Oreochromis niloticus: one gene and its partner. The main gene of each other region encodes a partner of the protein of the gene in region 2 in a complex. Links are inferred from orthologs where the notes say so. Each region holds a gene or a part of one and is shown on either strand. Other genes may lie near its edges.

What was found.
Region 1: the proteins of lin9 (region 2) and lin52 are in contact, whole or in part, in a crystal structure (PDB 6C48), measured with the Homo sapiens proteins. The link is inferred for Oreochromis niloticus from reciprocal best matches to the Homo sapiens genes LIN9 and LIN52. Residues at the interface, in NP_001353174.1 of Homo sapiens: Leu335, Gly336, Phe338, Phe342, Leu343, Ile344, Val346, Thr347, Leu349, Ser350, Lys351, Leu353, Met354, Lys356, Lys357, Ile360, Leu363, Arg364, Asn367, Thr368, Ala370, Glu371, Lys374, Ile382, Phe384, Gln385, Tyr388, Ala389, Val392, Leu395; in NP_001019845.2 of Homo sapiens: Asp61, Met64, Leu65, Leu68, Gly69, Leu71, Thr72, Thr73, Leu76, Met77, Val80, Leu83, Gln84, Leu86, Ala87, Leu90, Asp93, Glu94, Glu97, Met98, Arg100, Gly101, Leu104, Asn105, Ile106, Leu107, Glu108, Pro110.

What each region holds. Positions count from the first base shown.
Region 1 is NC_031983.2:9,853,309-9,860,757, forward strand, and holds the start of lin52 (protein lin-52 homolog), read right to left. Parts: upstream 3,013-7,449; coding exon 2,865-3,012; intron 804-2,864; coding exon 729-803; intron 644-728; coding exon 606-643; intron 507-605; coding exon 440-506; intron 251-439; coding exon 167-250; intron 1-166. Other genes in the region: pomt2 (protein O-mannosyl-transferase 2), read right to left, coding at 4,213-4,318, 4,908-5,019, 5,281-5,421, 5,500-5,605, 5,687-5,746, 5,844-5,915, 6,005-6,081, 6,176-6,267 and 5 more.
Region 2 is NC_031980.2:10,100,219-10,107,918, reverse strand, and holds the start of lin9 (protein lin-9 homolog), read right to left. Parts: upstream 3,021-7,700; 5' UTR 2,908-3,020; coding exon 2,877-2,907; intron 2,790-2,876; exon of another isoform or gene 2,329-2,789; intron 1,975-2,328; coding exon 1,942-1,974; intron 1,664-1,941; coding exon 1,572-1,663; intron 422-1,571; coding exon 308-421; intron 1-307. Other genes in the region: parp1 (poly [ADP-ribose] polymerase 1), read right to left, coding at 4,409-4,490, 5,085-5,199, 5,468-5,529, 5,628-5,755, 5,895-6,047, 6,189-6,287, 6,431-6,559, 6,669-6,791 and 1 more. UniProt on the Homo sapiens protein: Acts as a tumor suppressor. Inhibits DNA synthesis. Its ability to inhibit oncogenic transformation is mediated through its association with RB1. Plays a role in the expression of genes required for the G1/S transition.

The DNA.
Region 1 (7,449 bases), on a different chromosome or scaffold from region 2:
CTGGGAAGTTACTTCTTCCAGACAGAGAAGCAAAACCCAAGAGAGGCCTATGAGCACCATCTAGTGGTAACATGTGACCACATCCTTTTCGAACTCTTAGTGATTTTAAAGGTATAAAGGCTGGATTATCTGTACACTGGCATGTGTGTGCTGTTTGTTTACTTACACTCCTCTAAGCCCAGTTGGTACGCTAGATTCTGAAGTCCTTTGACCTTCTCCATCAGGTTGGCTGTGGTCAGGCTACCCAGCTCTACAGAAGGATAATAAGACCCATAATAAAAGCACTAACCCAACTTCAGCAAAATGTTAACCCATTTGACAGGATTATATAGTAAGTCTGCCTCTGTCCCCCAGTCTTTCTGTTTAACACCAACTGTAACAAGTAAACTGAAAAATCTGTCTGGGAAAAAAAAACATAATTTTGGCTATTTGGACCAACCTTTCAACATTTCAATATCCTCACTCTCCAGATCTGACATCCATTTTGGGGGTGAATTGCAGATGGGCTGTGATAAAGAGTTACAGATCACGCATCATGAAGTGTGACAAGCCTATTTATGTTTCTAATGTGTAACTCAAACTCAGCCATATTGAATCTAACTCACATTTTTACAAGATGCAGCGAACTCTGCGACTCCAGGTACTGTATGAGAGATCAGAGAATAATAAAGTTTATGCATAATAAATGCTACGGTAACCAGTCACATAGGCGCAGGAGATAAACTTACACTGCTCTGGCCACAAGTCTGGGGATGCTCTATCCAACTTCTCAAAACTCAGCAATGATGACTCAAAATCATCACCTATCGAGACAAAGAAAACAAATTAGAGCCAGTAGATTTAAGTTCCTACTGTAACCACGAGGCATGAACTGTGGGCAACAAATGCAAGAATGACATCGTGAAATGATGTTTCAGCGTTCCCTTAGAGCTGCTACTCCTCTGCATCAGAAGGAGCCAGCTCAGGTGGTACAGGCATCTGACGAGCTAGGTCTGAGCATCTCTGCTAAGACTGCTCCCCCACAACCCTGAACATGTAAGTGGCACTAAATAGATGGATGGATTTTCACAGAAGAAAAACATCTTTACTAAAAAAAAAAAAAATCCCTGGGTATCTTTCACCCAGTGACAGTTGTGATAGGCTCCATTCTCCCTGCAACACTGAATAATGCTGAATAAGTGGCTTGTTCAGAGAAACATGAGTCTCCTAAAATCAATACATAGCTGTGCTGAATGATCACCTTTATCATATAATAAAAAAAATCTATTTTGATGCAAGTTGTCTTTTATAGAATAACAATGGTCCCATCTATATCAAATTCTATGGTACTCACAGTCACTAAACCTTATTTTGGACTTATAAGTCACAAGGCGCTCCATTAAAAAATAACAGATAAGGATCTATGTTTAGTAAGAATGGTGGTGTTCCATCCATCCAGTGAAATTACAGGGACGTAACAGCCTTAAGAATTAACGAGGGATGATGAAGTTGTCTATGTATACATACAGCATGTCACAATTGTATAAAAAGTGGAAAATGCTGGGCTGTTTACCAGCTTTCCAGCAATGTATTTCACAAACTTTCACAAACACTGATTGACTGTGTACCATTATCTGCTCAGCAGTAACATGACCTACACACAGTAGTGACAATACAGGCAGAAAATTGGGTCAGAGCCAGTCTGTCTGGCAAATCGTGTGATAACACCTTATTTTAACAGCCCCAGGCATCTTCTTCCATGTTTAATGCCATGTACAGTACAGTGCAAAAGTCTTGAGCCACCCATCATTTCTTTACATTTTCCTTCCACTGAACCAGACTTTGACCAGTGTTGACCAGTAGTTCTCCAGATTTAGTGAAGATATTTCAAAGTTTTTCTTTGGCCATTTGTTACTTTTCCCCTTATTTTCCACCTAATCATTAATACGTGACCATTTTAAGAGGATTGTTTGTCAAGCCACTTAACACTGATCTATGAATTCATTCAAGCATACAAAATCACTTAACTCAAGAGGTATTAGGCACTTTGTTACTAGCAGCCAATTGCAAAACATAATTTTCTCTAATTTCTTCAGTTGAGCCTACAAAGAAATGACAAATGAAACACGGACTGACAATATAAATTAGCATTTGCACATCAAGGAACCCAAAGAGCTATTACCCCCAAACCTGGCATATTTACAGAATGCAATGTGCATTTGAGGAAAAGGGGAGAAAAGGCTGAGGTATGTCAAATTACACAAAGACTAGATTGGATGGATTGCAATGTTAAATTTTGGGTCAAATTACTCTCAATTTGTATGGAAGAAATTACGAAAGAGGTACAACAGTGAGTGTCTACAGTCATCTTTAAAACACACGGCGCTTTACTGTTAAACATACAAAATGATAAATTTCAAGTACACAGCTCCCATTAATAAGAGTAACGAGATGTACAACACAGAAAAAAACGTTAGAAAAAAGAAGAAGAAAGAAATACAACCGAAACAAAAACACTGTAGTTGTTATGAAACTGGTCTAAGGAGGGATGATTTAACCTGTTAGTAGTACAGCAGTAACTAACAGCTAATATTTTAGCTAGCAGCATCCACAGCTTCAGCTCTGTGAGTCAGACTACACGACAGAATTCAAGCTTGCTACCCGCTCTTCTTCCCCATTTACTGGACCGAACGCCGGGGCTAGTGAGGGCTTTAGCCAACGGAAAAACATGTCCAAACAGCAAAAATACGGCACTAACATGCGTATTCTGTCGTCTGTGGGTCTTCAGCTAAAACAGGATTATAGTTCTTAACGGTTTAATGTGCTTAAAGATCTCAATTTTACATTTTATACACAGCGTCGCAGGGTAAAGAATTAGAATTTACCTCCATTTGGAGACGCCATCTTCACAATAATCACGTGATAAACGACAGCCAATGGCAGCGGCAGCAGCAGCTCTGACATTTGACGAGTGTATGTGGTGTACTTCAGAAACACGCCACCAGGCGGCCCGCTGGTATAATGTTGGAGCATAAACCCAGTATTAAGTTCAAATCAGAAAAAATATACAACGAACACTAAGTAACTGACGGTTATATTTTGATCGGGGTGACTTCGGTTCCTACATTTAAACTAACAATATAACTTTGGGACCACAGGAATATGTTTATACACCTGCGACCAAAGCAATGTATTATATTATACGTAATTATTTTCAAGGGGGACCTATATCAAGCAGTGTAAAGTTTTCAGATTTAAGGATATTTTGACCTTTTGTAATTATATTGGATATAATTTTTATGGAATTAAAATTTTGGACAAAAATGTTTTAAAACAATCAATACCCTATTACTTTTTATGCTATTACAGGGATATTTCTGGAATGATACTTTGAACTCTTGACTTTTATCAGATTTCTACACATTTCTGAGCTTTTGGGGATATCTCAAGTGGTGATTCATATTTTAATTATCAACACTGAAAATATCATTTTAATCTCAGTAAAATAAAAAAAGGTTCAACTCAATATAATAATAAAGACATGCTTCATGTTATTGTACAGAACATAAAAACAATTTAAAGATTTCCTTCAACTTAAAAAAAGCAGAAAACTTTATAAGTAAAGATACAGAATGCAGGATCACTGTTTATTGATCACATTAAAATGTAAACACAGAGTCGGTACCTAGTGTAAAAATAGCGAGTAACAAAGCACTATTGGCTAAGTACAGTACCAAAATACTAAGTAATGAGTAAAATCAGAAAATCCCTAATCAAAATACAGTCTAATAGCTTCCAACTATGTACAAAATTTAAAAAACAAAAATCAGGGACATGTAGCATTTAAACCTTTAAAACTTACTTTTTAAAACCTTTTTCCTTTCAGGCACTTTAGCTTATTGTTTTGAATTACAGTACACATTAAATCTAGGAACAGAAGTTGTGATGTTAGTTAAGGCCTCTCAGAGACAAAGTTAAGATTCCCACTTACACCACAATCTGGCTTTCACATTGCATTGAGTTAGGTCTGCTTTATCAAGCATTCTTCATGCATGATAGACAACGTCAGGTGCAAATGCTGTGACACAAATACTAAGACACGTACAAATTCAATCAGTACCTTTTAAGAATCACTTCTATGTGCAAACACTCTACTCTGTCAGTTTTAAGTCCCTTATATTCAGAACAGTTGGTGCAAGTCACATCATTAGTGTCATCTTCCTGCAAAGCAGACTAGAACTCCCAGGAGTCCATCCACTTCAGACCAGCCATGGCGCTGCCCGGCTCGTGTGCTAGCGGACCCGTCATGCCATAGGACAGCGGATGAAACAGGTAGAAACTGACAGACAATGAATGGATCACAGTCAGTTACACTAAGCAGATGAAAAACTTTCATTCATGTGCTAAAATGGGCTGTGAGATCTAAAGTCACAGCAGCAAGAAGTTCATGTAAGACCCTCAGTGTAATTATTCTTTTCATATTTAGTAAGAATTAGCAGAGAAGCTTCTTGCTGAGAGCCAGATGAGAAAGTTGTAATCCTATTAGAATATCTGTATGATAGTCCATCCAAACTTGAAAACTGTATTACATCTACATGATATACATGACAATATGTAGCATATTAAGAGCACCTGCTTCCTTTAACTTAAATGATTTATCAATCATGATGGACTGTAGGTATTAATCTTGTCATTAATTCTCAACAAAACAATAACAATCCTTTAATAATTCATAATCTTTTCATCCACAGCTACAAGAACGTCATGGCTTATTAAACCATTAGGAGCATCAAGAGCATCAATCAAAGTATACAACAATGGATGGAGTATCATAAAGAACTACATTATGTAGCAGATATCTCACAGTAATGATAGGCTGTTTCTGACAGTGTTAAGAACAAGCTGATTCTTCATACTACTCAGCTCACCTGTAAAGAATACTAAACAGAAGCAGCAGCTGCCCAGTTCGCTGGAACCAATAAGAATAAGGTGGGTGGAGTAGAAGGTCAGCACTTCTGAAAAGGATGTCTAACGTCAGTCCTGGAGGAAAAAAATACAATTATTTAACCAAAATTGCAACAACTGTCAGTCAAGTATGCAAAACTGAGATAACTGTGTCCCAAACACTGTCGGCTCTAATGCAAGCCATTAAGTGAAGTAAGTTGTAAGTGAAGTATTGGCTACACCCACCAAACCTGCTGAAAAAAGCTTCTTATGTGTGGCTTCTACTTCAGTTCTGTAACTCTGCACTACCCTCTGCACTTTATAGTTGGAATACAGAAATCCAGCACAGTTTGGTACCTGTTAGCATGCTGCTGAAGAGCATTGCAGGGAAGTAGTGATGAAAGTAGAGGATACGACCCATCGTAAAAAAAGGTGCATAATGCAGGAGCCAACCAAGCATCAGCAGTCCACCTCCTCTCACAAGCACAAGAGAATGCTCTGAAACACAGGACAATACTACTTTACTTAAAGTCACTATGCAAAAGCATACTGTTAAGCCACCATTATTTACCATACCTATTCTTTGTTGGCCCAGTGAAAAACCTCTTTGGGTGGCTATGGAAGCCACCGCCACCATGGTGAAATACAACCCCAAACTGGCCAGATTTATCCACCACACCACCTGAAAACCATTTTCACCATGAGGACACTGATCTGCTGGTTAAATGAGATTGTAAGCATAAAAACTTAAAAACAAACTTACAGGGTTCCCCAGCAGGTAAACGCGGTACTCTGTCGCATTTACTCCTGAAAACCTCAAGCCCTTCACGGAAACAAATTACATTAAGTTAAAAGATAAAAAGTATAAATTTATATTTATATATATAACTAAAATAGATTTTATATAGAGTGTAATGCACCTGGTAGTTGATGGGCCAGTGCCAAGGTTTTGAATTCATCTCATTGTCTTTGGGTTTTAAGCCACTATTTCCCTAAAAGACAATAAAATAAAAAGAAAAGAAATGAAGATGCACTTTCTTTTAAAGCAGATGAGCTTATTTATTCTCTTATTATTACTTACTCTAAACATAACAATATGGGACTCCAGTAAGATTTCCAGAAAATTAGGCTTCAGCACAGACAGACTAATGTTGGGTACTGCCAGAACACACAATACACAACATGTTAGCTGCTGTCTGACATCAAGAAGTGCAAACACAAAATAGGAATACATTGAATGAATTGATCATACATTTTGGATTAATATGGTCCTCAATGTTCCACTGAGAGCTTGGGGTCTCCTTCAAGTAGGGACTACAGGTCACCTCTATTTGTTCCCAGCCCCTAAACAGAAACAACATTTGTAGTGCGTTTTGACCTGTTGTGTACAAAGTCATCTCAAATTTAAAAGTATGCTAGTTTTACCACTTTGGAAGAGTTTTGCCAGAGGAGTAAAGCACACAGCCGGTAGCTCGATGTAGAAAGCGAACTTTGCTGCGCAGCACCTTTACTGGGTCACCCTTCCGACCTCCACACACCTCCATCTGCCACAGGTCATTGGCGTCCCCTGTGCCATTCTAAGAATAGACCAAAAATAATTTTAGTATTGGTGTACAGAACACCCATAAAACCCCAAAACAGAATATGCAATAAATATGTCAAGTCCAACTGAATCTGTATTTTTAGTGCAGATGTTATGTTAAAGCCTTCCTTACAATGCCATAACCTGTAACCTGGAAGTGCTTCTTGGTCAGAGGCGCCTCATGGAGGTGACTGTGAAGGTTACGTGTTGTCCTGAAAGAAACACACACACACACACACACACACACACAAAGAGATTTGGGAAGGAACTGAGACTGAATCACTTTAAATAAAATGTGCATTTTTCTTGTCATTCATAATACTTACTCTTTATGCTCCAGTCGAACGATATCACCATGGCGAACAAGATCAGGGTTGCCAGATTGAGCTTTTTTAAAAAACAAAACAAAACAATAGATATAAACAATAAAACAACAATTCCTTATCCTAGTTGGATTTTAACATTGTCTTTGGCAACATTGTTAAATATATCAATGTCAGTTCCTCACAATTATTATCTTGTTGTCTGTGAACCACCCACAAGTTGTTGTAGTCCTTATGGAGGTAGGCTGTCACCTGTAAGCAAACAAATCATAAGAAAACATTTAAAGTTAAAAAAACAAAGAAACTACAAATATAAATATATAAAATATTTCAGTTTTCAACAATTAGCCTGACCTGCTGCTGCCTTGCGCCAACTCCTTCTGGGTATAAGTGCCAATGAGAGTGCAAATAACCTCCAGCAATACGGAGGTTTTTTATTGTAACGGTAGAGCCAAATGCCAGATCTGCATGAGAAAAACAACAAATCATAGGATCACTACCATCGTAAGAAAATGTAAATTAATAGATTAAATTAAACACATTTTTTTGTTTATGTCTCACATAACCACATAATGCACACAATCAAAATAAAACTTTTATACTGACATAATAATGTTTTTT
Region 2 (7,700 bases):
AACCAATGCTCTTGATTCTCTCTTGAGTTCCTATAATAGGCTACACTAATAAATCTTTCAGTAAATACTACATGTAATTCTGCAGCAAAGGTCGATGTTCAACTTTTTGAAGGTTGACCCCCATACCAAAAACAGCTCAGGTATAAACACATAATTTTTTGGACCAAAACAATCCTCTAATAAAGTTGAACTTTTAGGCTACAAAAGCTTTTAAACACCCACGTATTATATGTCTCGTCACATAGCATTACCAGGACAATGTATTAACTGCAATATACACGATCATAAGGAAGAGTGCAATCATTACCTGTGGTGTGGTGGTGACTCTCTGGCTCCTCCGTGGAGATCTGGACGGAAGACGCTGCTGCGGTGGCTCATCTTCATCTCGAAACAAACGGCTCCGCTTCGAGCTCCGTGTAGGCTGCAAGAAAAAAAATGTAAATTCAAAATATTACCAACAATCTATAAGTAACATTATTGCATTCTCCATATTAGGTGTCTGTTAGCAGTAGAAATTCTGGGATGTTGTGTTATAAATAGCCTGGCTAAAACAAATGTTATTCTGGGAACTCTCATGTATAATACGCAGGTTCTAAAACAATATCTAAGTAAACGTAAAGACCCCCATTTATGCAAAATGAGATGAAATGTATTTTCCTTCCAGTCCTTCCTTCCATTACACTGACAATAACAAACTTAAAGAGGCAAAAAATTCAACTCCTGAGCTGGAAAACAAAACGCCAAAAGACTTAACTATGCTGGTAAGATAAGCAAAGGGTGGTAACCATGCATAAACACTGACGATATATCCATAGTGAGAAAGAACCACTTAATTTGTTTATGATTCACAATGCTTACTGCCATCTATGAAACAGACCCTATTTAAATATCCACTCCTTTAAGCTTTCTTTTGGTTCTATTGAGCTGTAATTCGACGTGGCACTTTTTAGAAAATTAATATCTGCTCCAAATACACTAGCATTTTTGGCCATTGCTCTCTCACATAGGATGAAGTGACGTTCTTTCTTTTCATTTTCCAAAAAGAAATTGTGATTTTCTTTTCATTTCAAACACCGTATTACAATACTGCATTGTAACAATTAACTTCTTGGTTGCTAAAAGGAAAGAAAATATACACTGAACTACTCCCTTATTTCCCAAGGGGTCACCACAGTGGATAGTATTTTATCTGGTGCAGCTTTGACATGATTGGTATTCTTTCACTGATAAATTCCAAAACGTTCCAAAAACTTAACCGGAAATGCATCAGGAGGAATCAGCGATACTGAACAGGCCAATCACAATAGCTGCGGCTTACACTAACGCCACATTTAGTTCCATTTCAGTGGAGGTGTGCGTCATGTCATGCCTTAGGGTTTCTTCATAGGGTTTCAGAGGGATTTGCTGTTATGACATAGCTATGGCACAAATTTCCCACTGAAGCATAATTACGCAGTAAGGTGACTATGTTAACCATTATACCTTATTATTCATATTAGTAATTAAAGCATCATGTGTAATAGATTATCTGTGTTTTCGAAGTTTTCATTGTTTTCATTGCATTCTCTTACCGTGTCCATTGTGACAGAGGAATGCCGTCCCCTGGTGTTGTGAGCTCGTGGGAAGCTGTTTTTCTCATTCAGAGTGTTGGACAAACTGCCCTCTGTGAGAATACCAACATATTTATATACAAGAACACCAAAAACAGTTTCTAAATCAGTAATTATATCTTAACAAACCTTTGCCAACAGACAAAATCACATGCAAACAATAACAGGACCACTATGCCCTGTAAGCTTGCAATTAGAAACTATTACAGAACTCTGACCAACGTGATCTGACACAGATCTAATCTATATAGTGAGGAATTAGAGTCAACGTTACAGAAACACCCAGTATATTTGTAAACAGTAAAAAGCATAAATACAAGGGAATCCATACCTTTAAGACTGACGAGTGCCTCTGCTGAGGAACCTGAGGAAGAGGACAATTTAGGCTACATTACTGTAGAGCATTAAAAAGCATAAAAAAGCAATACCACATAGACTAAATCTAAAACGCATGCAACTTTGATAAATATTATTTGCTAGTGTTCTCCTTTTTAAGTTACGATACGCTCATTTTAGCTGTCACAGAACCAGTAAGATGGTGCTTTAAACACTGACAGCAGCCAGGCAGGTGAACAGGAATTAAAAATAAAGCTAGCGCACTCGGTTAGGCCTTTACCCCTAACTGGAGCTGTCAGACACGGGTGTAACATCAGCTGTGGGCAATTTGTATCGACACACGAGCCAGACAAGCTATGAGCTGTAAAATAACGTTATTTACATTAGGTACGTTCCCAGCGACCGTTTCAGGTGTAAACAGACAAATGAACTGGCAAGTTTCCCTACACAAGATCAATAATGATACATGAAGCTTAACTATAACCAGGGTAAAGGAACGCTGAAAATGAGGAAAGTGTCATGGAAAACTAAAATAAATCAGTAAAATAAAAAATAAGTCCAGCAAAACAGATAGCTTGTTAGCAGCTAGTGGCGTAGCGGCAGCCTTTTTGTTCCTGCTGTTCGCGATCTAAGGTTAGCAGACGTTAGCTCGGGGCTAAGCTAACGTTATTTGTTCACCCAGTTGTGCTAAAGTAACTTGTTCAACTCCAACATTAGCCATGGTTAGCCTCTAGCGCTAACAAGCGTTAGCTGACTTGGACAGACCCGGTGTCTGTTTGCGTCTAAAATGAGCTTATGAAGTCCGCGCAGAACCTATGATAGCCATTACATGGTCAGCGATATCGGATTTTGGCCAGTTATGTATTTTATCACTGCGGGACTGCTGATTGTTTACAATGCAAAACTCCTTGAATTTGTGTTGTTACTCACTCTCGTCTAACAGCTGGTCCATCTCCGCCATCTTGAATTAGCCGCGCCGCTTTTTCAAAGACCTTGTCAAAATGCATTCTGGGTCGGGACTCTATCTGGAGGGCGATTTGAGAAATAAAAATCCCGTAATTTGCTTAAACGGTAGCTTAAGAACTGCTTCCAGTCGTTTGTTTATCTAAACATATACATTCACTTTCTACACATCCAACTTTTACATGTTAAATGTGAAGTTAAATGCTTGGGAAACCGTTTCGTATGAAAAACTTGACTCGGAATGGGAGCATAGCAGCCAGCCATTGTTTCAGACGCCACATCAGTCATTTTATCGTTCATTTCTCCTTTACGTTTTAGTCATTGTTGGGAAAGTGTTGTGTTTGAAATGAAATGTTCTCTCTTGAGTAAATGTATTTATTTTTACCAGCAGTTATACCTAGAAGGATTTTGTGTATACTATACACAACATAAAAGACAGCATAGGATACTGCATTTATCTATTAATGAATAAATACCCAAATACATTTGGAATCTTTTTCTTAGATGTGAGGGGAAAAAAAAGATGAAAAACTACAAAAAAACCTCATTTGTGCAAATGAGTTTCTAATCTCACAGAATGTGTAAGTTTCTTCTTCCAATTTTTCCACTTTAGTATGCTCATAAATTGGTACCATTAAATACAGAAAATCCTGTTGGGTTTTTTGCATATTAACTCATTTTGTTACCCTTCAGTGCCAATGGGAAATGAGGCAAAACAGTTTCTAATGCTTAAATGTCCTGCCAAAATCAAGCCAAAGCCTGCTTTTTCATCAAGGTTAGACCATTCCCAGAAGTGCTCCTTAGCAACTGACCTTGATTTCTGCCTTCTTCAACAAACTGAAAGAAACACTTCAGGAATGAGGAAAAACATGTAATTCTTCATGTCTAACGTTTTATTTGGGTTTGAGAGAAGCAAGGAAAAGACATTAAAAAAAACGTAAACACTTAGTATGGCTGTTTTAATCTTTTACAGAGCGCCTTGCATCACATTTTTTTACTTTTTAGTGAGGAAGACAGCTAGAGATGCGAACAAAACAAGTATATACATGTCAAAATGCTTACAGTATCTTAGTCTTCACTTTAATGTGGATTCACAGCAAACTATTGGTTTGTGTACGTTTGCAGACTGGCTCTTGAACACTCCTAAACTTGCAGGACTATACCTTATGAACTACAGGAAAATAAGATCCTTCTCCAGTGACAGATTACCAACACTTTCTGAAGTTATCGCCAGACCTCTCCATGTACTGATGTATGCAATGTGAAGAAGCCAGTATTTAGGTACCTAATGTATTACAAAGGAAGTCTGCCACTTAATAAACCTGGCGAAAACACAATAAAGTGACAAGAGATTTCCAAGGATCCACCATGAAGGACGGTTTAGTATCACTCCTTTTTTTAAACATCTTCGGTTGCAGAGAATGAAGCCCAAGCATTTTGGAGGCAACAGTGGTTTTTTTTTTCCTTTCTCTATGAAGAAGGTTCGTACGCAGCCCCTCTCACCACAGGGATGTCTGGTAGTTAAACTTGATCTTCAGAAGATACTTCAGATTTACCTGTGCTACATCATACACGATGTACCTGAGGGAGCACGGTTAAAGAAAACAGGTGGCACAGATGATCAAAAAATAAAAAGTTACAAATTAAGCTGAAAACACAAATACCCTGACAATTTATTTTGTGGTGACTGCTGTTAGAACATAAACACAACCCTTCAACTGTCTCATCTTCATGTCTTCACTCCTATAAGCAGTGTAAATGAGTCGATTTATGCATGACAGCTGGGTGAGCTACACAATGAAAAGTAGGTTAGACAATATTCACCTATTAAAAGACAGAAAGCTATAAAACTATGTTTCCATGGGTGAACTCACTGGCCTTTTATTAATTATACCTTATTTGTACTGCATGTTGAAAGTGACTTAACTTACCTTCCCTATTGTAAACCTCTCTTTGATCTTTGACGTGTAAATGCACCAAGTTGCTGCCATGCGACCGGATCATTAGATTTTGTATTAATGACAAATGAACAGATACACCTAATGAAATGGCCGCTGACTGTAAGATAGAAATTTAACAAATTTGACTCACCTTTTAACTGCACAGGTTATGTACAGACAAGCAGGTAAAAAAATCATTACACATATAACCAAACAAACTAATATTAGAGGATACTCGTTGTACAGCAGACTTGTGTCATCAATATTAGTGTGGACTCCTTTTCCCAGAGGCACTTGCACTCCATTTAAAGTGACAGTGGCATTTGGATCGGGAGCAGTTCTACCCAAACCTGGAATAAAAAAACCCAAAGTGAATATTATTATATGCACACACACACACGCAGTTTTAAAAACTGACAGACACAAAGGTAAATATTTCCTGGTGGGATGAATTTCATCGCGTTGTTAAGAACTACGCTGAGAAGTGTGGATCTAAATTACAGTTAGAGACACAGACTAAACAGAAATATAAAGCTTTAAGCACAATGTTTGCCATGTGAACCAAACACTAAGAAAAATAATACTAATTAAAATGTTGCAACCCATTATGTTTCTCACCTTTAACACTGTGCTTGCCCTTAGGTAATTTTGTAATATGAGAAGCCTTCTTCAGTTCATGCCTGCATTAATTAAAAAGGAGGTTGCATTTATTTACACAGTCAGGCCAACATTTCAAAGGATGAAATATATATTTTTTTGCATTCAGACCGTCACTTACATGTTTCCTAGAGCAACCTCGCCGAGCAGAATGAGGCCTACAGGATCTGACTGGGAGGTGTGGCAGTAGTTTGCACTCTTGGACACCATGTCAGCAAAGTACACACCTTTGCCAAACATGTAACCAGTCTGGAGAAAATTAAGCAGGACTGTAATGTTATGCAGGACTAAACACTAGAAACTATGGGTAAAGTTGGGGTATTTATTAAAGGAGAGGTTTTTAATTCTTCACATCTTATCATCAAGCTGGCTTCAAAACAACACCCACCACTGGGGCCTCTGGAGGGGCAATGCGGAGACCCTGAGACAGAATACCGGCGTAGTTGGTGGTGCGAGAGCCGTGCCACAATAGCTGGCGATTGTGAAGCTCCTCGAATGGACGATATCGCTGGTGCTCTCCCTCTCTGACAATTTTAAATATCTAAAATACAGAAACACAATCAGAAAACAAACTAAGTTTCTAAATCTAACCATTAAAATGAAGCGGTTTTCCTGCTTAAACCCGTTTTTACCAAGTTAATCAATCAATAAATTAAAAAAGAAAAAGAAAAAAAAGACTTGCCTCTTGTACTTCCAGTGTGTACGTGTTGTGTGTAGCAGCGTGGGTGTTCTTAACGTATTGCAAGATGATCTCAGCTTCACTTGTGGTCTTGTCAACAACCTGTAAAACAACAGATGTGTTACATGCATTTTTTTGTTTTTAAATGTCAAAACTTAAATCGATCATCAGGGCAAAAATGAAACCTTGCACACCGTTGATGATTAAGAAGAAAACTTTACTTTCTAAAGAGCCGTACTCCTTACCTCAATCTTTGTCTTGAGGTTCTCATAGTTTATGTCGATGGGGTCTTTCTCATTGTCCTGGGCTCCTCCTCTCAGTAAGCTGTAAGCCACTTCAATATCCAACAGGTTGTCCAACATCTGAACTTTAGCCTAAACAGTGATGCATTAAAGATCAGCCTTTTTAAACTCTGCATTAGGCTTAGCGGCGACATGACAAAGAAAGGTCAAACTCTAGATTGGGCAGTTTATGAGTCCTTACTTGAATGTAGTCCAGGTTGTTGAGCAGTGGAGGCTTCTTCATGCCAAAGTCATGAGGTATTAGAGTATAAAAGCGATTGGAGAGATCCAGTATCTGCGCCTCAGACACACACTCTGACACAGCCTTTAACAAAAGTAAATTAAAAATGTAAATGTTGCATGATCAGGAGCTGCACAGATCTCATCCAACCACTGGTACACAAGGACTAGTTGTTATGTCCAAAATTCATGCCAAACGATAGTATTAAAATGGATTTCAAAGCATTACAGAGTTATATAAAGAGAAATCCAACATAAATACTCATGCAACTCTCAGAGGAGCTGTTGACTGTCACTGACCTGCTGTACTTCAGTGAGGAGAGCATAGGCACTCTGGATTTGCCTCTTGCTCAGCTTACCAAGTGGCATCTTCTGGAGGTCAATCTGTAGACAGAAGAAGAATAAATGAGCCTGTCAAGTGCAAAAATACTGGTGGATGCCAGTGCTACCCCTCAGTATTCTAGTAGGTCCGTATGGTATCAGTTTCAAAATCGTATGTTGCCTTGTTCTCGAGTTATCACATTCACAACCTTGTGTTTCTATGCCAGCTGCCCCCCGCCCCCGAGCAGGGTCAGCCTTTTACAGCTGAAGGGTAATAATAATAAGTAGTAATGCTCACAGAGCACTTAACATCATTATAAATTAACTAATTGCATTAGAAGAGTTATCTAATCTGCTGCTAAAATAAAAAGCACTTAAAATGTTCTCTTTGTGAATGAAGACGAGTATTCTCCTTAAATTGTTTAATTTCTTAAACATCAGTAAATTATTTTTATGTCTGTGACAACAGCCTAAAAAGTCAAAAACTAAAACACATTTTTATTTATCCAGACGTTAATCCACAGCATCAGACGGGATTTTTTTGTTTTTTTTAATATACTTCTTAAATTTGTACTTCTAAGTCAAAATATTACTGTATACTGCAAATGTTTTATCCATCTGACTTGAATGAATGAACTTGCGAAAATGTGAAGTAAATACCACATCGGGCAAA